Linked DNA regions of Cricetulus griseus. The protein of the gene in region 2 interacts with the protein of the main gene of each other region in a biochemical or structural test. Links are inferred from orthologs where the notes say so. Each region holds a gene or a part of one and is shown on either strand. Other genes may lie near its edges.

What was found.
Region 1: the proteins of Xpo1 (region 2) and Adar form a complex in vitro, tested with the Homo sapiens proteins (2 studies listed by BioGRID, with this or other methods). The link is inferred for Cricetulus griseus from reciprocal best matches to the Homo sapiens genes XPO1 and ADAR.

The regions. Positions count from the first base shown.
Region 1 is NW_023276806.1:64,814,359-64,826,402, reverse strand, and holds the start of Adar (double-stranded RNA-specific adenosine deaminase), read left to right. Parts: upstream 1-499; coding exon 500-527; intron 528-2,988; coding exon 2,989-4,411; intron 4,412-6,776; coding exon 6,777-6,960; intron 6,961-8,191; coding exon 8,192-8,337; intron 8,338-8,869; coding exon 8,870-9,008; intron 9,009-9,127; coding exon 9,128-9,312; intron 9,313-12,044. UniProt on the Homo sapiens protein: Catalyzes the hydrolytic deamination of adenosine to inosine in double-stranded RNA (dsRNA) referred to as A-to-I RNA editing.
Region 2 is NW_023276807.1:83,486,699-83,498,742, reverse strand, and holds part of Xpo1 (exportin-1), read left to right. Parts: intron 1-3,003; coding exon 3,004-3,065; intron 3,066-3,624; coding exon 3,625-3,669; intron 3,670-5,032; coding exon 5,033-5,214; intron 5,215-5,403; coding exon 5,404-5,452; intron 5,453-5,529; coding exon 5,530-5,649; intron 5,650-8,533; coding exon 8,534-8,662; intron 8,663-9,390; coding exon 9,391-9,549; intron 9,550-10,823; coding exon 10,824-11,021; intron 11,022-11,746; coding exon 11,747-11,885; intron 11,886-12,044. UniProt on the Homo sapiens protein: Mediates the nuclear export of cellular proteins (cargos) bearing a leucine-rich nuclear export signal (NES) and of RNAs.

The DNA.
Region 1 (12,044 bases), on a different chromosome or scaffold from region 2:
GTAACAGAATATGCAAGAAGATATGAATATCCACAAGAAGGTATGAAGTTTGAGGCAGCCAACAGGGTGGACGGGGCTAGTGGGGACAGGGCATCTGCCTGATAGTCACGCTGGAAAGGGACAGACTTGTAAATCTCTTAACTGGGATTAAACACGGAAAAGGAACTTCCTCACTGGGCAGAGGGGTGCTGTTGAGTGCCCAAGTGAAGCTTTCCAAAATACCGTGAGCCAAAATAAGCTTGTCGGTGACATAAATTGCACCCCAGCTCTCAGCTAACATATGAATAGTGCATTGCTAGCGAAGGCGGAGTGGCGAGGAAGGCCGTGAGTGGGGACTGCCGCGGTCCAGCCCTTGGGGTGGGCGGGATGCTTCTCTGGGGCCGAGAGCAAACTCCTCCTCCTGGCCCAGCCATCGGGCGGGGGAAGCCGGCTTTTCCAGGAAACGAAAGTGAACTCTGGGGAGCCATCTTGTGGCCCAACTGCAGGTTTGGCCGGCGCTATGGCTCAGGGGCTCAGGGGACCCGCAGGTAAGCCCGCGGGGTCTGCGTCCCCACGTCCCGGTTTGCGGAGTGTGAGTTGTGTGGGTCGTGCGCTACCTCATCAAGCCGATCCGCCTCCTGGGGATTTGTATGCAGTTAGTTGTTGTAGCGTTGAACAATGCAGGAAGGAGGCGTGGGAGAAGGTGGACCTGGGTCTCTTGTGCCCGACCCTGAGGACCCAGGCCAAGGCAGACTCCCCTCCCCTTTCTGCTTAGGGCCGCTGACACCTCGCTGAGCTGCTGTAGTCCCACTTGAACAACTGTTCCTACCTTAGGGCCCTTCCCCTTTGCTCTCTTTGAACTTCCTGTTAATTTTAAATTTGCAATTTGCTTTCAAGTAACCTACAGGGTTAGGGTTAGGGTTAGAGTGTCTTTCCACAGCTTATGGGGTAAGCTGCAGTGGAATTCTGCTTAGCGCTCAAGTGAGAAGTGCTGTTCTTGTGCTGCCGTGCAGTGTTTTGAAGAATCCGGATTCCGAGGTGTCGTGCTGTGTGCCATTCTGAAAAGCAGTGGGGATGAAAAACGGATGCTTGGCGCTGAGGGCCAGAAGTGAGGAGAAGGTTGAAGGCAGAGAGGTAGAAGAAAACTTGAGTAGAAGTAGAAATGTTCTTTATCTTGATTGGGTGGTGGTGATAGTAGTGGGTTTCTTTTTTGAGACTGTTTTTATGTGTTGCCTTGGCAGCCCTTGAGCCATCCACAACTCATTCCTCCTTAGTGCCCTTGCAGGCATGCCCCACTCAGGGTTATACCTCCAGTTTTAAAAAGCTACTCGGGATGAACCATGGCTTCACACTTGGTAGGCAAGCGTTCTACCACTGAGCTATAGAAGTGTGTGTGTGTGTGTGTGTGTACATTTAAAACTTAATTTTGGGGGGCATGGTGGCACATGCCTTTAATCCCCTCACCTAGGAGGCAGAGGCAGGTGGATCTCTGTGAGTTAAAGCCAGCCTGGTGTACATGGTGAGGCATTGTATCAAGAAACATACCCCAAAAGCCAACTTTTAATTAATGGATGTACAGGCATACATGTATTCCTCTCTGTGGAGGTCCAAGTCCCCCCAGGGTTGGTCCTTACCTTGTTTGAGACAGGGTCTCTTGTTGTATCCAGGGTTGGCCCTCAACCTTTCAGAAGTCCTGCAATTACTGTGCTTATACCATACATCAGGCTTATTTGTGGGTTCTAGAAATTCAACCTCAAGTCCTTCGAGTTGTGCTTTTACCCAGGGTCATCTTCCCAGCCCTTAATGTTGTATTTTAAAAAGCCCTTTCCTAAAACCACTGAGGACATCTGACTTGAAGGAAAAGCATTTATTTATATATAGTGACTTTGAGGAATAGTCAGTCCCAGTAAGTGACTGTTAGCAGCTGTTCTCAACTGAGACTTGGTTTTTAGGGGATGTTTAGGGGTGAGAAGACAGAATAATTCCTTCTCTAGTTCTACCTTCCCAAAATAACTCAGTAAATTCATTACTGTTTCTTTTCATTTTTGCTCATACTGGCACATACACACACATACACTCTTGTGGGTTTTCCCTTTTTCTTACTAGAAGAGAGTATAACATACATGTGCTCTGCCATTTACACTTTTAACATATACCCAAATTTTCTGTGATCAGAGTGCACATGTAGCTGACTGTTGATGATGTAAGTCACTGATGTAGAAGCTAAGGAGCCCCATGGTGGGTTACTACAGTCGTGATTAGGATGGGTAAGATACCCAGTCATGAAAGGGTGGAGAACAGAAGTCTGTGACTCAGCTCCCCTGTAGCCTTCAAGAGAGTCAGGGGAAGGCTATGAATGCCTCAAAAACATTACTGTATGTTTGCTCCAAGTTTGCCAGCATGGGGAAGGCAAGCAAAGTGCTGTTCCCATCCCATGAGCAAATCACCACTGCTCTCCAGCAGGGTGCATGGGAAGCTGGGGAGATAGGATGGAAGTGGTGAATAGACCCTGCCTGTTCCCATGTCCCGGTGAGCCTTGATGCCAACTGAAGAGGGAAGAAAGACCACTTGCTGTTTTTAGACAGCAACTCCCTAGCTTCCCTAAAACCAAATTCTGATCCTCCGGGGACCAGAGTGGCTAACAGGTAAATCTCTGAGAGCCCTTTACCACATGGAGATGGCTCTTGCTAGTTACACTCTTCCTTCAGCTGGGAGAAAGTTTCATCCACTCTTAAATTCCACTTGTCAAGATCATCCACATGACAAAACTCTAGAGACTAAAGGGGCTGTGTGTCTTGCACCCTCTTTCTCTGTGTCCCGGATAAGCTCCCAAGCAGTAGGCAGTAGTGGACTAAAGTCACCTAGTGAGGACATAGGCCACAGCTCAGTCAGCTACCCTGCCCACTAAGAATCTGGAACAGCTTCCCCAGGCAGAAACTGGAGGGATGACAGCAACAGGCTCATATATGACTCTAACTCAAGCTCTGTCCTCCATGTTGTCTTCTGCAGGGGTGTTCCCTCACCAGGCACGCTCCTACTTGGACCCCAACTATGAGCATAGCAAGTGGAGACATCCACAGCCACATGGGCCTGAGTCTTACCCCGGGAGTTTCCAGCTCCAGCAGATAGACTTTCTCAAAGGGCGGCTCCCAGAAGCACCCCTGATTGGACAGCAGTCCCAGTCACTGCCGCCATCCCTCCCAGGACACTGGCCCAGGTTCCCAGGGCAACCTGCCCAAGGCAAGCAACTGGAAATCTGGGGTTTCCCCAGAAGTGTGGCTCTCAGAACTCAGGGGTTCCACACAGGACTCCCACTTCCTCTCCCACCCAGCAGTAGGAGTCTGCCATGGAGAGGTGCTGACAGGCTTTGTTCACACTTCCGGGAGCTGAGCATCAGTCAGAATCCGCAGCAAAAGATCCTAGGCCGCCTGGAGGAGCTTGGTGAGGGGAAAGCCACCAGCGCCCAGGTACTAGCCAGAGAGCTCAGGGTTCCAAAGAAGGAGATCAATCGTATATTGTACTCCCTGGAAAGGAAGGGGAAGCTGCATAGAAGAGGGGGATCTCCTCCTCTGTGGAGCCTTGCACCCCCACATCAGGCTTGGACTCAGCCCTCTAGAGCTGTGAATCCAGATACTTGTGGCCAGACAGTCCCTCAGGAAGAGCCTGGTTTGGACAGTGAAGACAGAGACCCCGCCTCTGACTTAGAAGGACTTCCTGAGCCTCTTGACATGGCGGAGATCAAGGAGAAAATCTGTGACTACCTGTTCAATGTGTCAAACTCCTCTGCCCTGAACCTGGCTAAGAACGTTGGCCTCACCAAGGCCCGAGATGTGAACGCAGTGCTGATCGACTTGGAAAGGCAAGGCGATGTCTACCGGCAAGGGGCCACGCCTCCCATCTGGTGCTTGACGGATAAGAAGCGGGAGAGGCTGCAGATAAAGAGAAGTACACACGGTGTTCCTGCAGCTGTCCCAGAGGCTACCAGAAGCACCTCATTCCCCATCTGCCACTCACCCCCATCAGGTGCCTCAAGCAGCCTGGCAACCCCCAAAAAAGTAGAGAATGGGCAGGAGCCTGTGATAAAGTATGAAAGTAGGTATGAGGCCAGACCAGGGCCAGTGAGACTGCGAGCACACGCTTATCACAATGGCCCCTCTAGAGCAGGGTATGCTGACTCTGAAAATGGCCAGTGGGCCACAGATGACATCCCAGATAACTTGAATAGTATCCACACAGCACCAGGTGAGTTTCGAGCCATCATGGAGATGCCCTCCTTCTACAGCCCTACCTTGCCACGGTGTTCACCATACAAGAAGCTGACCGAGTGCCAGCTGAAGAACCCTGTCAGCGGGCTGTTAGAGTATGCTCAGTTCACTAGTCAGACCTGTGATTTCAACCTGATAGAGCAGAGTGGACCGTCCCATGAACCTCGGTAAGAGACCACCCAGGTATCATGCCTAGCTTTGAGTCAGGTGCTCTGGTTCCTGCACTGTCTCAGCTCATTTGTCAGTGGTGGCCTTGGTGGCTCCTGTCTTTGCCTTCTCTCTTTTCCACCTTTTGGCTAAATCATCCTTGATTCGTCCCTTCTCTAAATGCTAATCGTGGAGGCTAGACCTCAGGGTAGCCAGAATCCTGGCTGAGCAAGGGGAGATTGACTCTCCTGGCCGAAGTGAACTTGCGTAGAGATGACTACCTCTTGTGTGCCCGTATCTACCTTCTTAGGCCATCACTGCCAAACTGAGCAGGTGGGCTGGGGCCGGCTGAGCAGGCAGAATAACAGCACTTGCTAGGCAGAAGCAGGTGCACTTCCCACCCCAGCCTCCGCTTAAAGGGAAAGAAAGGATGTGTCAAACACAGAAAGCTGCCTGCCAGTCTTATCAAAGGTGGTACTTCTGCTTTCGCACACTTCCCTTGCACAGGTAGATGGACTGCACTTGCTGCTGCTGCTGCTGCTGCTGCTGCTGCTGCTGCTGCTGCTGCTGCTAAGCCAAGAAGTCAAGTTCCCGAGCTCAGGCAGCTGGCCAGACTTTGGCACTGTGGCAGTGGTTCTCAACCTTCCTAATTCTCTGCCCTTAATATAGTCCCTCATGTTGTGGTGACCCCCAACCATAAAGTGATTTCCTTGCTATCTCATAACTATAAATTTTCTACTGTTATGAATCGTAGTGCAGATGTGCAGGATATTTGATGTGTGACCCCTGGTTTCCAGGGGTGTAGGTTCCCCACAGTGACTTGTTTCTTCCTTAACTTCCTTCATGATACCAAGTTACCACTTCAGGAGAACTGCTAAACAAAGGGGGTATGTTTATCCCCAAACTACAGAGCCAGGACCCATTTTGGGGCTAGGGGCTAGCATTCTTTCTCTCTCTCACCACTCCTCCAAAGAATTAAGGGAAAGCTGGGGGCTTTGCCATTAGTCATTCTTTGGACTTCAACTATATAAAGAACTTGAATGCTGCCAGGTGTGGTGGCACACACCCATAATCCCAGCTCTCAAGTGACTGACTCCGTGTTGGGAGTACCAGGTTAGCCTGGGCTAATACATAGTAAGACTCTGCCTCAAAGGGGGGGAGGGGAATGAAAAGAAATGTTATATTATACTTGAGTGTTTTGAAGACCTAGAAAGTAGGAGGCCTTACCTCCTTCTCTGAATGAATGAAATGAATCCAGCTTGAGTAAAAAGCTCAGACATTTAAAAGGTTGAGCCAAGGAGACTGAGGCTAAGGCCAGAGTCTAGGGCCAAGTGTTTTGATTTTCATCCCAGACCTGGGACAGGCAGAGCTATAGCACTGCACAGCAATCTAAGAAGGACAGATTGTTATAGTGACCTGAGACACATCACCCACCTACAGGACCTTCAGAGTGGCTCCTCAACCACCCTCCAGCCTCCTGTTTCCCCTCTCATACCCAGCTCCCCTTCCTCCCTTTTTACCATCTAGCAGGTCCCTGCTACAGGGCAGGTGTCTGCTGTGGTCTGAGGACTTTGAAAAGGAGCACAATGCCTTTAGGACCTCCATGGAGGAGGCCAATCCACACAGTTGGCCAGGGGTTGTTAGCAAGACTGTCCACCTATCTCTTTTGTGCACTTTTTATTGTTAAGAAATGATAGCGGAAGCTGGGCATTGGCGCACGCCTTTAATCCCAGCCCTTGGGAAGCAGAGGCAGGCGGATCTCTGTGAGTTCCAGACCAGCCTGGTCTACAAGAGCTAGTTCCAGGACAGGCTCCAAAACAATACAAAGAGAAACCCTGTCTCGAAAAACAAAAACAAAAACAAAAAACAAAAAAGAAATGATAGCGGGCCAGCATACCTGCAATCCCAGCACTGGGGAGGCAGAGGCAGGAGAATGTGTAGTACAAGGCCAGCAAAATCCTGTCTCTAAAACATGGTGGGCCAGCAAGATGGCTCAGGAAGTAAAAATACTTGCCACAAGCTTGACAGCTTGAGCTCAGTCCTCTGAACTCATGTAGCGAAAGGAGAAAACTGACTCCCACATGTTGTCTGTGATACACACACACACACACACACACACACACACACACACACACACACACTAAACTAACACAATCAATGAATAACAGACACCACTGGGTGTGGTGGCACACACGTTTAATGCCAGTACTGGGAGTCAGAGGCAGGAGGATCTCTGAATTTGAGGACAGCCAGGGCTGTGTAGAGATAGAGACCCTAGTAGGTACTTGGTATATCAGAGCATCCTGGGGTAGAGAGAGATCTCTTTTGAATGAACAGAGGGATGACCCAACCTGGTGTTCACACATCTAATCACTTTCCACCAAGATTTAAATTCCAGGTTGTCATCAATGGTCGAGAGTTTCCACCAGCTGAAGCCGGCAGCAAGAAAGTGGCCAAGCAGGATGCAGCAATGAAAGCCATGGCCATTCTGCTTCGGGAAGCCAAAGCTAAAGACAGTGGAAACCCAGAAGAATTATCGAACTGTCCCATGGACGAAGACTCAGAGAAGGTAGGTGTTCTTCCCTGGGATCAGTAACCCTCAGCTGTTGTGTGTCAGGATCTGACAGACTCTGGAAGTTGTCCTGTCTCAAATAGTCAACAATCCTGAGGCAGCACCCCTATCCTACCCCTCCTCACACCCCTGCCTACCCTTCCTCTTAGCCAGCTCCTGGTCTGCCTTCCTGGTCTGATTGTATTTGCAGAGTGTCAGGGTCAAAAGAAGCAATAATAGTTAGGATTCTCTGGAGGAACAGAACTTATATAACAAATAATTAAAAGGGTTTCTTAGATGAACACTTGGTATGGTCAGAGTGGTCTAATGAGGGCCGTCTCCCAGCTAGGAGGCTGCAAACTGGTAGCTACTGAGCCCCTGAGGCTGAGTGCCTTGTCAGTCCCAACCTGGCACTGAAGGCTTGAGCAGTTCTCAGAGAGCTGCTCTAATGTCCAGAAAAGCCAGTTCTAATATCAGGGAGGGAGGGAGAGGGAGGGAGGGAGGGAGGGAGGGAGGGAGGGAGGGAGGGAGGGAGGAGGGAGGGAGGGAGGGAAGGAAAGAGGGAGGGAGGGAGGGAGCAGCAACAGTACAGATGCACTCCTCAGTAAGAGTGAAGGCCAGGCACCTTTAATACCAGCCCTAGGGAGGCAGAGGAGGTGGATCCCTGTCAGTTTGAGGCCAGCCTGGTCTACAGAGTGAGTTCCAGGACAGGCTCTAAAGCTACAGAGTAACCCTGTCTTGAAAGAAACCAAAAACCAAAACCAAAAAAACAACCAAAGCCTTCCAGGCCATGTCCTTTTATCTGGGCTACTAGCATTTAGGGTGGTCTCCTCATATCAGCTAAGCTAGCAGGACAATCCCTCAGACATGCCCACAGGCTAGTCTGATCCAGACAGCGCCTCACTGAGACACCTTTCCTTTGGGTTTTAGCTGTGTCAAGTTGACAGTTAAAAACCAACCATCACAGACTTTGAATTCACGCTCCTCTCTTCTCCTTTAGAAGGCCACTCCTAACATTTAGTTGCTTGAAAGAACGACTTAGTTGGGCATAGTGACTAGTATTTGCAGCATTTGGCAGGCTGAGGCAGGAGGATTACCTTAAGGTCAAGGCCAGCCTGGGTTGTAGGAGGAGACATCGTTTCAAAAACAATGAGATAAAGTGTCAACACCATAAAGTGTCTACACCCCACTGCCCTCTGCTATGGTGATCTAATAAGAGTTTTGGCTTGTGCTTTCTTCTTTTCTCCAGCCAGCAGAGTCTCAGACCTCCAGCTCCTCAGCAACATTATTCTCTGGGAAGAGCCCAGTTACCACACTGCTCGAGTGTATGCACAAACTAGGGAACTCCTGTGAATTTCGCCTCCTGTCTAAAGAAGGCCCTGCCCATGACCCCAAGTATGTCTTTATGTGTGGTGTCTCCTGTGGATGTCTCCCCCAAAGTAGCTAAGACACTTACCTCAGAGATGAGAAGTCGTTCCTCTTTATGGTCTCTCCCGTTACAGTCTGGAAAGGGGCCTTCAGGGCCTTGCTGCTGCTATGAAGCAGAGAGTCTGGGATTAGGAGTTCGAAGGGACCGAGGACTAGGTAGGGTCACAGCATGGACAGCTTGACGGTCACTGTTGGGACAGGAAGGTTGAGAATCTGGGCATGCCTTAGCAGCTCCCTGCTTGAGGGTTCTGTGCACATACTTGTTCAAAAGAAGACTCCTAGAGGGTGTGAGGAGTGACACTTGCATGTTGAGTGGTTAGCCAGGTCACGAGACTGGGGGCAGTGGATGGGCGGTTCGCACTAGCTGTCCAAGGCCAAAATAACTACACAGAGGTGATGTGAATAAGAGCTACAAGTAATGGAGGGTGGCCGCCGACAGGGGCGAGGCAGATCACTGCAGCCCAGCCATTGTGATCCTTTGCCCATCATTTTCTCTAAGATTCCAATACTGTGTAGCAGTAGGAGCCCAGACTTTCCCCACTGTGAGTGCCCCCAGCAAGAAAGTAGCAAAGCAGATGGCGGCAGAGGAAGCCATGAAGGCTCTGCAGGAGGAGGCAGCCAATTCAGCTGATGACCAGGTAGGGCATTGTCCTGCTCAAATCACAAGCCATTTGTTACAGTGTGGGCAGAGAAGTCTTTGTGTCCCTCTGACTTTTCTGACATGTTGCTGGTTCCTCTTGGACTAATTCTCCCTTAGTCTGGAGGTGTGAACACGGAATCACTTGATGAGTCTGTGGCACCCAACAAGATCAGGAGGATTGGTGAGCTCGTCAGGTACCTGAACACCAACCCCGTGGGCGGCCTGTTAGAGTATGCTCGCTCCCATGGCTTTGCTGCTGAGTTCAAGCTGATTGACCAGTCCGGACCTCCTCATGAACCCAAGTGAGTGTCTTAGTCCTGGCAACAACTGCGTGTCAGCGGGTGAGGGTGGCCTGTAACCTCAGGGTAAGAAACGGTGCACATTAACTTCTGTCCGCTTCATCCCTTTCCAATTGCCCTTCTGTAAACATTTTTATTCTATGTGTGCGGATGTTTTGCCTGCATGTATGTCGGTGTACCGTGTGTTTGCAGTGCCCGTGGAGGCTAGAAAAGGGCCAAATTCCTTGGAACTGAAGTTATAGATGTTAGGAGCTACCGTATGGGTGCTGGGAATCAAACCGAGATCCTTTGGAGGAACCATCTCTCCCCTCACCCCCATATCGAATTTTTTAATTTTAAAAAGTAAGGAGAAAAATCTTCATAAAAACAACATGGGGCAGGGACACTAGGGAGATGAGTCAGGGTGAGGAGCACTAGGAGGCTCTTGTAGAGAATCCAGGTTTGGTTCCCAGCACTCACAGGGTGACTCACAGCTATCTGTAACTCCAGTTCCAGGGCATCCACCTCTGGTCTCCATGGACACCAGACATGTACATGGTACACGTTCATCCACGTGGGCAAATATTTAGTGTGTGTGTGTGTGTGTGTGTGTATGTGATTTTTAATTTTTTAAATTATCTTTTGGATCAGCAAGATGGCTTATTGGATAAGGGTACCAACTCTGATGACCTAAACTCTATCCCTAGGACCCATAGTAGAAAAAGAGAGGGCTGATTTCACAGATTGTCTCTGGGCACCATACGTTCACTGTGTGTGTGTGTGTGTGTGTGTGTGTGTGTGTGTGTGTGTGTGTGTGCGCGCACGCGAGTACTCACACGCTTCCCGGGAGGGGGGGCACTTTTAATTAAAACTAATGTCTTGCTATTTTAAAATTGCTTTATTTTTAGTAATGCAGTCATTGATGTTTCCAAGTCCACATGTATTTGCATTTCCTCATGAACTACTTCATTTGACATAACCCATTTTCTTTTAGAGTGTTACTCTTTAGTCTTTTAGAGCTTTTAAAACAATAAAAACATTAGTCCTGTGATGATTATGCCCCAATCTAACGGGGCCCAGAAGAGCTCCTGACTACCCCCACTTCAGGGTGCCTTTGTCCAGTGTGGAAGCTGCTGGGAAAGAGGGGGAAAGAGGACATGGGCTCCTGCCCCTCCCTCTGGCGAGCCTCCTTCTCTTTAAGCTAGGTCACATGATAGTGGGAGCTTTTAGTGACACCTTCTGTAATATTCTGGGAATTCAGTAATTCACTTGGAACATAAGAACCTTGGAACTGGAATTAAAGACATGAGATGCAGCAGACTTAGGACTGTAACAGTGTTGGACTTGCCGTGTGGCTTGTCCTGGGAGGCAGATGCCAATTTAGTAGCTATTTTATTTCCATCTCATGTGGTCCTTCCTTTGTGTGTATTATGCTGCATCCACTTTTCCCTCTCTTTCTTGGTGACCTTAACTCACTTGTTGGTTTTAATGTCTAAATGCTGGAAAGTGCTGAACATGTCTCTGTAACCCAGACCTCTCAAAGCTCCACATTCCTGTATCCAGTTACGTACTTTAACTTCTAATCAGACATATCCTAAGCGGAGCTCTGAGACAAGACTTTCCTGTCGTAGTAAACACCACCACTGCTTACCCATCCTCAAGCCACTAGGATTTCTAGTACTGGCCTCGAAATCACAGAGTTCTGGGATTACAGGCCTGTGCCACCACCGCCCGGCTAACAACTTCTGATATAGTGCTTTCGCCGTTGTGTGCTAGACATGATGTAGGCACACAGCAGAATGTGCATGGCTTATTTGCAAATACCATGCCATTTTACATCAAGAACTTAAGTGTTCTGCAATTCCAGTGTCCTTGGGGAATCCTAGAAGCACCTCCCATGAACACCAAGGGACACAACTGTACATCTCTGTTCCTGTGGTGGGAGGACAGACCTAGTCAAGGGACCGAGAGATGTGATGGATGAGCAGGGAGTGAGGGTAAGGCCAGCCTCTACCAGCTGTTTGCTGAAGGGCACATGGCCTGCCCACAGGGCCTGCCTTGTAGGTTGTCACTTTACCATAAAAACAGTAGGAAGTCATTGAAGGTTTGAGTAGAGCATCCGTGGTCTCTTGTCCCTTTATTAGCACTTTTCTGCTAATTTTTGTTTTCTCCTTTGAGAGTACCCCTCCAGGTCTTTGCCTCAGATTCCCACCTAAATCACTGTTGGCAGTCTAAACTGATAGCTTATTTCCCAAACCAGGCCACCTGCCTACCTTGCCCCTGTCAGGAAGTTTGAAGGAAGCATCCTTCCTTCTACATCAAGTCTAGGTCCCCTCCCCTTCTGTGCATAAGGACTGATTGTTTCCTGATCTCCCTTCTTCTCCTGGCCTATTGACCTCAGCTGTATGTATGCAAACTCTTAGCCGTTTTTGAGAGACCATGTCTTGACCTGCTTCTCTCCAGGCTCTACCCCATTTCTGTGCTACTCTAGATACCAGACGCCTCAAAAGGAATGTTTATAGTCACTGTGTACTTTCTTCACTCCCTCTGAGGGCTGGAGAGATAGCTCAGCAGTTAAGAGTGCAGTCTGATCCTGCAGAGAACCCTAGTTCCCAGCTCAGTTCCCAGCACCCACACATGGCAGCTCAAAACCACCTGACTCCAGCTCCCAGGGCATCCAGCACCCTCTTCTGGCCTTCACAGGCACTGCACAGATAGCTGCACCTACACAATTGAAAATAAAAGTAAAATCTCAA
Region 2 (12,044 bases):
TAGCAGCTTGATTGAACTTGGGGAGAGGAGTATCAAATCAAGGCTTTTTAACCATTGTCTTTCTGAGGTTGCTTTATGTGAGGGATGATTTTCTAAATCTAAAATAAAAGTGTAGTGATGGCTACAGTTAATCTTAAATGTTTCTTCCTTCTGTATTGGAAAGGTGTGGTGGTTCCCACTTGTAACCCAGCACTCATAAGGTAGTGGAGGCAGGAGGATTGGGAATTCAAGTCCTGGGCTATATGAGATCCTCTCCACACCTATGTACACATATACCTACATATTCAAAACAAATAAATGTCATAGCTTTAACAAAAAAGAGACATAATATTTGATACTAATTAGAAAATTGAGGCCAGGTCTATAGCCTAGTGCTAGGGCACTTGTTAACCCTGCACAGCCTCTGAATTTGACTGCTTTATTTTATGCATATGGATGTTTTCTCTGCATATGTACCACATGTGTGCCTGATGCCTGGGGCAGTCAGAATGGGGTGTTGGATGCTCTGGAACTGTAGTTATGGGTGGCAATGAGCTATTAAGTTCACTAGTTGTGAACAGACTATGTGTGTTCTGGGAACCAAACCTGGGTTCTCTGGATGAGTGGTAAATGCATTTTTCTTTTAAGGTGGGTGTGGGCGTGTGTCCGACCATCTATCTCTCTCCATTGGTCTGTGTCCTTCATCTGTGAAGGCCAGAAGGAAGTGACCAATATTTTGGTACTTAAGTTAAAAGTGGTTATGAAACATCCTAAGTTGGTGATGGGTACAGAACACAGGTTTTCTGGAAAAGCAATGTGTCTTTAACTCTTGAGTTATCTTTCCAGCCCTGTTCCTTTCTGAATACATTTTTTTGTTCTTTTCCTGTGTGACTCAGGTGGTTTTGTAGGTAAGGATGGCATTGGACTTTTGGTTCCTTTGCCTCTACCTGAGGGCTGGGAATACAGGCTTGAATTCCCATAGCTTTGTGCTGATCAAACCTAGGACATTAAACATAGTAGACAAGCACCCTACCAGCTGAACTGCAGTCTTAGTCAAGTTCCATGGTGGCAGATATGAATCATCATACTTGGCTGAAGTTTAAGGTTTTTGGTTTTTCAAGACACGGTTTCTCTGTGTAGCTTTGGAGCCTATCTTGGCACTAGCTCTGGAGACCAGGCTGGTCTCGAACTCAGAGAGATCCCTCTGCCTCTGCCTCCGAGTGCTGGGATTAAAGGTGTGCGCCACCAACATCCAGCCGCGTGCGTGCGTTTTGTTTTTTTTTTACATTCCAACCTCGGTTTCTTTTCCTCTCTTCCCGCTACCCCTTCCCCCACCTCACATCTGCTCCTCTGAGAGGGTAAGGCCTCCCCTAGGAAGACTACTAAGTCTGTCTGATCATCTCATTGAGGCAGGATCAAGGCGCCTCTCCACCCCATACCTCTGTGTCTAGGCTGAGCAAGGTATCTCTCCTTATAGAATGGACTCCACAAAGTCAATTTGTGCTATAGTGTTATATCTTGGTCCCTCAGCCAGTGGCCTCATATATTGTCCCAGTCACACCATTGTCACCTATATTAAGGGAGTCTAGTTCAGTTTTATACTGGTTCCCCATTTGTCAGACTTGAGACCTGAGACCGTGATCTCTCACTAGCTCAGGTCAGCTGATTCTGTGGGTCTCCTATCATGGTCTCGATTCCTTTGTTCATATTATCGCTCCTCCCTCACTTTGGTTGTACTCCAGGACCTTTTTTTATTATTACACTGTAGTTTTAGCTGGGTGTGATGCACACTTGATCCCTGCTGCTTATTACACTGTAGTTTTAGCTGGGTGTGATGCACACTTGATCCCTGCTGCTCCAGGACAGCCAGGACTACATTGAGACCCTATCTGAAGAAAAAAGGAAAAACAAAAACTTTTTTTTTGAGACAGGGTTTCTCTGTGGCTTTGGAGGCTGTCCTGGAACTAGCTCTTGTGGACCAGACTGGGCTCGAACTCACAGAGATCCGCCCGCTTGCCTCTGCCTCCCGAGTGCTGGGATTAAAGGTGTGTGAAACCACTGCCTGGCAAAACATCTTATTTTTAAATTAAATTTTGTTTTGTTTTCTGTTCCCCAATACCACCACAGGACCTCTATGTGTCTTGTAGCAATTTAGACCAGGCTAGCCTTGGGAAGACAGGGCTAAAGGGGTACTTCACCATACCCATCTCTAATCAAGTCAATTCCATAGCACAAGGCCATTGTTTCAAAGTCTGTGGAGGCCAGCCTGAACTTCAAACCATGTATCTATTTAATCAAAGAATACATAACACTTGGTATATTTTCCTATAAAATTGATGTAATATCTTATAATTTTATTACACAAAAAAAATGTAGTAGTAAGATGGATAGCTTCTTTTGTGTGGGGGGGGGATAGCTAGTTTATAGTTAGCCTGTGACTACATATGTCCTGACACCACCACCACCACACCACACCCCCTGTTCTGGACCTCAACTCTGTAGACAAGGCTGGCCTTGAATTCGCAGAGATCCGCCTGCCTCTGCCTTCCAAGTGCTGTGATTAAAGGTGTGCACCATCACTACTCAGTTTTGTCTTGATTTTTCAAAAGTTCAAAAGTATGAAAAGCATACCCATAGGCATGTCAGTTATTCTGAGGTGTTTATCATCAAATCTAGGGGGGTTTTGTGTGTTGGGCAAGTATGGTCCTGAATATTTGTTAGCATGGTGTGAAAGTGTGATTTTGTTTTCTTAATAGAGTCACATTCCGGTGGCTCTGCGCACCTTTAATACTCATCATTGGGAGGCAGAGCCAGACAAATCTTGAGTTACAGGACAGCCAGACTACCTTGTTTCAAAAAAAAAACAAAAAAAGTCACATCTAGTTCAAGTTGTTGTGACAGTTCCTTTGCCTCAGCACTCTAAAGTGCTGGGGTTACAGGCATAAACCAACTCCCATGCCTATCTTACAAGAAGTTTTCCTTTTTTTTTTTTTTTTTTACACATTGTGTATAATCTTTTAATAGGGATAAAAAAATACGTTGTTGGCCTCATTATCAAGACATCTTCTGACCCAGCATGTGTAGAGGTAAGAAAATTCTTTGAAAATTATTAATTTTTGAATTTTGTTTTCTTTGTGTGCACACACATGAGAGTGCCTAAGTTCGAAAGTGTGGGTGTGGTGATCCTGGCAAGTGAAGAGAGTCAGTCAGTGCTCTTCTCTTCCTTCCATCCTGTGGGGCTGGAGATTGAAACTCATATGTTTGCAATGTAAACCATCTCTGAAAATTCAGAGATTGATGGTTTTTTAATTAAGTTTATTTATTGTGTGTGCAGTGTGTAAACAACTGGGTGCTTTTTGAGGTTAGAGGGAGACTTTTGGGAGTTGGTTCTCTCCTTATATTTTATAGGTCCAGAGAATTGGAACTCAGTTTGTCAGGCTTGGTAGCAGTTGGCTTTTCATGCTGAGCTCCCTTGATAGTCCCCAGAGAATGTGTTTGAGAAAGCAAACATTTAAATGTTAGCCTACTTTTAACAGTCATAAAAACATGTATATTTGTAGTACATCAGTAGTCATTTCTAATGCTTATGTTTGTGTTGTATTCTTTAGGCACTTGTTTAATGTGACCCCTTTCCCCTTTCCCTAGAAAGAAAAGGTGTACATTGGAAAGTTAAACATGATTCTTGTTCAGGTAAGCTTTATATTAGCCATCTTCCTCAGAAAATTTAAATGATTGTTACACTTAACATTTGCATCTGTTTAAACTTCCCCATCACATAGATATCTTTATAAAAAGGATTTGTATTTTAATTATGTGTATGTAGGTGTGTGTCTGTCTTGTTTTCTGGTGGATATGTGCATGTGAGTGGAGGTGCTCACAAATTACAAAGGTCAGAGGCATTTGAAAGCCCTGGGCCTGGAATTATAGATTGTTGTGAGTGACATGTGCCTGACATGGGTCCTGGGAACTGGGCTCTCAGGTGTTCTCCTTTTTTCTTCCCTGAGACAGGGTTTCTCCGTGTAATGGCCTTGGCTGTCCTGGAACTTGCTTTCTAGGCCAGGTTGGCCTTGAACTCATAGAGATCTGCCCCCCTCTGCCTCCTAAGTGTGCTACCTAACCGAACCTGAGTTTAGGTCTTTAGTTAACATTTGTTATAATGAGCCTGTGGTGATAAGAATCAACAATTATTTTAAGACTTCGGTTATATGGCTTCAGTGTAAATTGGACTGTATATTGGAGTTTGAAATTTTCAGTGCATCTCTTGGATTCTTAGACCAATAACAATGCATTCCCCTTATGTGGCTGGTCCAGTTCCAGTTTATATATCCTTACATGGAATTTGGCCTCCTAGTTAGTTTCCATACAGTCTTTCCTAACCACTTATGTAGTCTTAAGTTTAGAATGTTTATATTGACCTGTTTTCTTTACTGTCCCCCAACAGGTCATCCTTCTGTAGAATGTTAGGAATATTCTTGGCTATGACACTATCCAAACTTCAAAATTCTAATATGTTTTACTAAGAATTTAGTAGAAAATTCATTCCCTGTTTGTGCTATATACTTCAAGGTGGAAATGTTCCCACCCTAATATAATTCAAGAACCAGGGCCTGGCTGCATCAACTTCACTACATTAGCAAATTTATAATAATGTAAGGAGTAGATTATATCTAACAGAAAATGTTTCTTACTGATTTTTGGAGTAGCAGGGATTGATCCCAGGGGTGGATATGCTAGATGAGCATTCTTACTAGCCCATAAATATGTTTTCTTAATCAGTCACCCTTTATCATTTAATTAGATCTCAGTTGTTTGGGGAGAGGTTATACATATCTTTCAGGCAAATATTATCTATCATATGCTAGGACCAAATGTAACGATCAGGGTAACGGAGTGGGGTCTATGAGTAAAACACTGTGTATTGTGTTTGTGTGTGATGTAGAGAGTAACACAGTTCCTTCCTTAATGGGATTCAGTGAGTGATATTTACTCTGGCTTGGCAGTTTTTTTGTCCTTGTCACTTGAAGTGAAATGTGTATTTCATCTTTAATTTTAGATACTTAAGCAAGAGTGGCCTAAGCATTGGCCAACTTTTATCGGTGATATTGTTGGAGCAAGTAGGACCAGTGAAAGTCTATGTCAAAATAATATGGTGATTCTTAAACTCTTGAGTGAAGAAGTATTTGATTTCTCTAGTGGACAGATAACGCAAGTGAAGGCAAAGCATTTAAAAGACAGGCAAGTAATTATGTTTTAAATTACGTTATATGGAGCTCTAAGTGTAAAAGCTTCTTTTCAATTACTTGGGGATGTGTACAGGAGATAATCAGTGCCTCCCTGTTACTCTCCATCGGGTCTGCCTGAAATCGGGATTTGTATTTTCCTACTTTGCTAAATCTTTTTTTTTTTTTTTTTTCCCCTGCTTAGCATGTGCAATGAGTTCTCACAAATATTTCAACTCTGTCAGTTTGTGATGGTAAGTGGTTTTAATTTTCTCCTTTTTGAAATAAAGTAGAGTAGAGTATGTTTATGATATGATGCTTGTGTTTGCAGGAAAGTTCCCAAAATGCTCCTCTTGTACATGCAACTTTAGAAACACTGCTGAGATTTCTGAACTGGATTCCACTGGGATACATCTTTGAGACCAAGTTAATCAGCACATTAATTTACAAGGTAAAGCTGTACACTTCAATTTTGTCTCTGGATGGGCACAAATGATTTTTCTTAACTGACACTGTTAATGGCTATCTTTATGAAATGAAGGAACTGCCCTCAAGATTTTTACATGAATAGTAATCATTTTATATGACTCTTTAAATCTTTTTTTTTTAAATTAAGGCATAGTGGTGTATGTTATTATAATACTGCAGAGTCAGAAGTAGGAGGTCTTTTATTTTTATTATATCTATTTGTAAATTTTGTGTTAAGGTTTGTGGGCATGGATATATCTGGAGGTCAAATGACAGCTTGGTTGAGAGTTGGTTCACTCCACCATAAGGGTTAAGGGGACTGAACGTTGCCTGCTTCTTTACCTGCTGAGCTATCTCAAAGCCCCAGGTACAGGGTTTTCAAGTTTGAAGGTGGCCTAAATTACTTACCTAGGAAGGTCTGTCTTAAGAAACCAGCTAACTAGGTCAGTTTTTCAAGAACAAGTCAATGGGGATGGAGAGATGGTTCAGAGGTTAAGAGCACTGCTCTTCCAGAGGTCCTGAGTTCAATTCCCAGCAATCACATGGTGGCTTACAATAATCTATAATAGATAGGATCTGTTGCCCTCTTTTGGCATGCAGGCAGTACAGGTATAACACTGTATATATAATAAATTGTAGATAAATAAATAGATCTTTACTTTTTTAAAAAAATCAGGCATGATTGCAATTTAAGGCCTGTGTGAAAGCTTTCTGGGGGGAAGGGGCGGGTCTGAGGCAAACAGGGTTTCTCTGTGTGACACTTTGGCTGTCCTGGAACTTACTTTGTAGACTGGCTCACAGAGATCCACCTGCCTCTTTAAGACCACTTAGCCCAAGACTTCCAGGACTACCCAGTCTCAAAACAAAAGGTCAAGACAAAAAGTAAAGTGAAGGCTGGAGATTGTAGCTCAGATTCGATTCTTGTTGCTGTCAAAAACAAACAAGATTTCTATATTGGGTACAATTAGCATATTGCTTTCTTTGGATTGAGTCACACAGTGAAGTGTAATTCAGGGGATAATCCTATAAAGTAAAAAAGAAATTTGTTTACATGTATTCATTTTGTATGTAGTTGCCTGTCCCCAGGATCAGACTCAGATCGTCAGTCTTAATGGCAAATACTTCAATACTGGGGCCATGAAAATCTCTTGCCTGAGAAATTTGAATACCATACACTTACTAATTACTGCTACCTGTAGTTGGAGTGTTTCTCCAGAGCATCTGCTCCCAAATTACCAGCTGCTACTTCCCAAGTAACTGACTCCGAGACTTAAGTTATAACTGCTCTACTGATAGCTCAGGCTTGTTACTAGCTAACTCTTACATTTAAATTAACCCATATTACTGTCCATGCTTTCCCACATGGCTCATGATTTCTTACCTTATTTTCTACATGCCTGCTTCCTGGGCAGCTAGCTGGCATCTCTTGACTCATCTTTTTCCATCCCATCATCCTCAGTTTGACTTTCCTGCCTAACTTTATCCTGTTTAGCTACTGACCAGTCATAGCAACATATATTCACACAGTGTACAGAGGAATCTTCTGTAGCAGTTACCAGTGCATTGTATTATCTTGATGAATGTTATTGGGATGTTTTTTGAACCTTAGTAAAGCTAGATTAGTAACCAGTGAACTTTGTAGATCAGTTATTAATAAATCCCAAATCAACCACCAAGGGTATACAGAATATATACATCCTAAAGACCTTATTTTGGGGGTTGTGGAGGGTGGTAAGGATATCATGGTTTAAGTTCATCTCATATTCAATGTAGGTGATGTGTAAGTTGATGGTGACCCCCTCCCCATTGTCTATTCTCATTCCTCAGAGTAGGTTTTTATTGTTGTTGTTTTTAACTATTATTAAGATGGGGTTCTCAAGCCAATCGCCAATCAAACATAAACAGTAATTTAGATCCTGGGAAAGTTACTGAACAAGTTGTTTTTTTAAATTTCAGGTGTACTAAGGATGTAGTTCCCTATTTGCTAAGTGTGCACTGTAACACATAAAATAAAAACCTAGAGACAGATACTGGGGTTTAAGCTTCAAGCTGAAGATCAGAAAAGCAAAGCAGCCCAGCCAGCCATTAGCTCTCACCTCTACCTCAGACTAAAAGGGCTATCCTGTCATCAACATGGCTGGAGACTAATTCTCACATCAGACCCTTTGCTTCTTCCTTTTATACCTCTCAAATCCTGGGATTAAAGGTGTGGGATCCCAACCTTTATGTGAGCTGTTTTCTTTTTAGACTGGATAAATCTCATAACTCAGTGTGGCCATGAACTAACAGAGTAGTCTACCTCTGTCTCCTGAGTCTTGGGATTAAAGGTGTGTACCACCACATAGCTTCTATGCTGACTAGTGTGGCTGGCTTTGCATCAACTTCAGAAAATCTTTATTAAATCATAACTAATATATCACCACAGTGTACAAAGCAATAGGCTTAATCCCCAGTATCCCTATACCTGTGAAGCAAGTAGAGAGTTCAGAAGTGTAAAGTCATCCTCAGCTTTGTAGCAGTTTTGGTCTTCATCTGGGCCTCTCAAAGAAAAGCAAGCATTTCAGTACTTAGAGTATATGGTGTTTTATTTTGTGGGAATGAGTTTTGACTATGCATGTGTGCGTGCTATATATGTATCACATGTGTGTCTGGTGCTCTTGGATGTCAGAAGGAATAGACATAAGAAGAGAGTGTTGAATCCCATTTGACTGCTACTTGTGAGCTGCCTTTGGGTGTTGTTGGGAGTAGAGCCTGGGTCCTCTTGAAAAGCTTTTTAACCACAACCAGCTTTCCATCCCTTACCCTCCTTTGTCATTTTTAAAATAAATGTCTCTTGTTTAATTTTGCTTTCTCTTTTAATAAAATAGTTCCTGAATGTTCCAATGTTTCGAAATGTGTCCCTAAAGTGCCTCACTGAGATTGCTGGTGTGAGTGTAAGCCAATACGAGGAACAATTTGAAACTCTGTTTACACTTACAATGATGCAGCTAAAGCAGGTAATATACCACTATTTTGAAAACTGAATGATTTTAATGCATTAGAAATGGGAAGATTCATGACCAATAGCACTGCCCAATGAACAATAAAAAATAATAGATTTAAACTATAGAATAGTTAATACAGATGAATTGTGTGATTATATGTACATTATATAAAATCTTGAAAGTTTTATTTTCTTCCTTGAAATATTTAGGTTTTGCTCTTTGCCATTAAAGGGTCAGAAAGGGACTTTTCCTGCCTCTCTCTTCCTCTCTGTCTTTACATCTTTTCTCTTTCCTTATTTCTTACCTCCCTCTCAATAAAACTTTCAAAATGAAAAAAAAATATTAAGGGTTTTGGCGTTACATGATAACTAGAAATTTGAAGGTTGAATTTGATTATACATTGGGAAATTAGGAACCTGATAGGACCAATCTCTCCCTCCTCAGTCCTCAACATTGCTTGTCTAAACTAGACAACCTCTTCTCTAGACTAAGATCTGTTGGTTATCTAGGAAGATAAGCATGATGTTGTATTACTGTTTGCCATTTGAGTGTACCTTTATATTTTTTCTGTGTCTTGAGAAAAACCTGACAGAAAAATTCAAAGAATATAGCAGGCAGCGGTCTAGATTGGCCAGAAATACAGTGCAGATTAATGTCAGCAAATAGGGTTGTCATTTTAGAGTTCAGACTGTTTTCTTGTGGTTTTGTAACTTGTTTGTAACTTGGTTTTTAACTTCCAGATGCTTCCTTTAAATACTAATATTCGAGTTGCATACTCAAATGGAAAAGATGATGAACAGAACTTTATTCAAAATCTCAGTCTATTTCTCTGCACCTTTCTAAAGGAACATGGTCAACTTTTAGAAAAAAGACTGAATCTCAGGGAAGCACTCATGGAGGTAGGTTTGGCTCCTAGTATTTGTCTCTTCAAAGCAAAAATAAAATAAAATAAAAGGCTCTTGAATATGTGCCTGTTCTCTACATGGATTTTTGAGACATCTTGCTTGTTCTCCACCTGTATGCTTTTTGTGGTTTTGTTTTTGAGTCACGATACTTTTATTTAACCTTGACTGTCCTGGAACTTCACCGTAGAGCATCACAGAGATCTGCCTGCCTCTGCCTCCCTAATGCTTGGATTGGATTAAAAGCATGCCCAGCTGCTTTAGCTGCTCTTATACTATCTCCTAGGTTGTTGTGGAACTCTGTAGGGCAGTCTGGTGTTGATCTTTCAGTGAATCTAGGTGCTGAGATTATAAGCATGAGTATGCCTTGTTTCCAAAACAGATTCCTGCTTTGATATTTGGGTCTCTGTAGTTTTGGCAGACAGGCTGACCTTGAACATATAGACAGACATCCACCTGCCTCCCAAGAACTGGGATACAACTATGCCTGACAATTTTTTTTAATTGGAAAACTGTTAATATACAAAACATAAAAGCCAGACATGTCAGTACTGTCCGTGGGAACTCACACAGGGAACACACACAATGTAAATACCATATTTGGGATAGCCTGTATGAATCTAATTTTGAAATGTGCTCATGCTAGTAATCTCAGCACCTGGGAAGCTAAGGAGTGAAGATTCCCAGAAGTTCAACACCAGAGTTCCACACCAGCCTAGGAAATGGTTTTATTGTTTGAATATGTGTCTGAACAGTATAACCAACAGTATACTGTTTCCTAACATTTTTAACATCTCCACAGCAAATTGTGTACCCATGTTTTGTTTGAGACCAAGTCCTCTAGTCCTGATTTGCACTAAACCATTTATATATACCAAGCCATCCTCAAACTTGTGAATAACTTGTCTGTGCCACCAAAAGTGCTACTGTTGTGTGCTTTACCATTACCTGACACCAAAGAGCCCCTTTGTAATGTGGGACTTTCTGGCTCACCTCAAACTGATTACCTGAAGATGATCCTCATGCCTTCCCCAGTGATCAGGCTGTAGGACCTGCTCTCCAGTTTTAATGCCTGTTTAGACAAACTTGGATATAACTCAGTTATGTATACTGGAAACATTAGAGAACATGTCTGAAGAAACATTGGCTTCCAGGGCTTTCTGTTTCAAAAATGGAAATCCAGATGTATTTAAACAGAATATTAATTTTTAACCCAGATTTAAGTACTGATTTGGTGGTAATGTTTTAATTCTGTTTGTCTTAATGTGTAGGCTCTTCATTATATGTTGTTGGTGTCTGAGGTCGAAGAAACTGAAATTTTTAAAATCTGTCTTGAGTACTGGAATCATTTGGCAGCCGAGCTCTATAGAGAGAGTCCATTTTCTACATCTGCTTCTCCATTGTTATCTGGAAGTCAGCATTTTGATATTCCTCCAAGGAGACAGCTGTACCTAACTGTGTTATCAAAGGTAATATTGAGGGGGTCGGTTGAGTGCATTGTTTCTTCCTATATTGTTGATGGCTAATAAGTGTTGGTTGAAGAACATAAAAAGGATAAGTTTTCCAGCTTTAGTTTTTAAAAGTATGGCTCTTTAGCTAGCAGCCTTGCATTATCTTAACTTATTGGTGTGTACGTATGTTCATTGGCTACCCCCAATCTATTCAGTCAATGAGACTTAAAAGATTTATTTATTATGTATACAGTATTCTGACTAGATGTATGCCTGTTGGCCAGAAGAAAGCACCAGATCTCATTACAGATTGGTTGCTGAGAATTGAACTCAGGACCTCTGGAAGAGCAGCCAGTGCTCTTAACCTCTGAGCCATCTTACCAGCCCCACACCTAGCTTTTTTTTTTTTTTTTTTTTAAATAGGAAACATTTGATAGGTGGGTAGGTGTGTGGCTGGGTCTTTAGTCAAGGTTGGCCTTGTTCTCTTGGTCCTCATAGATCATCCTTGAAAGTGTTGGGATTATAAGTATGTATGACTGCCTTATTTGAAAGTTCATTTTTGGGTTGGTAGTCAATTCTAGCCTCTAACTAGATCACCCAGTCTTGTGAGCATTGAGACTACAGGAATGTCTCACCATCCATCACAAAAACACAAGTATATGCTTTTAAATGTCTTACATCAATTCTATATTGGGCGTGGATATCAAATGTAACAGTTTCTTTATTGGTTTATTGATATGTAGGTCCGTTTATTGATGGTTAGTCGCATGGCTAAACCAGAGGAGGTACTGGTTGTAGAAAATGATCAGGGAGAAGTTGTAAGAGAGTTCATGAAGGATACCGATTCCATAAATTTGTATAAGAATATGAGAGAAACATTAGGTGAGTTAATAAATGACATTAATTAATTTACTCTGCAATTTTATGCCCTATTTGTGAAAATACTGTTTGGTCAAAGTTCTGCACTTAACTGAATCTTTCAGTAACATACTAATATGTTGTTACTCCTTAGCAAAAAATATATATATATAATATATATAT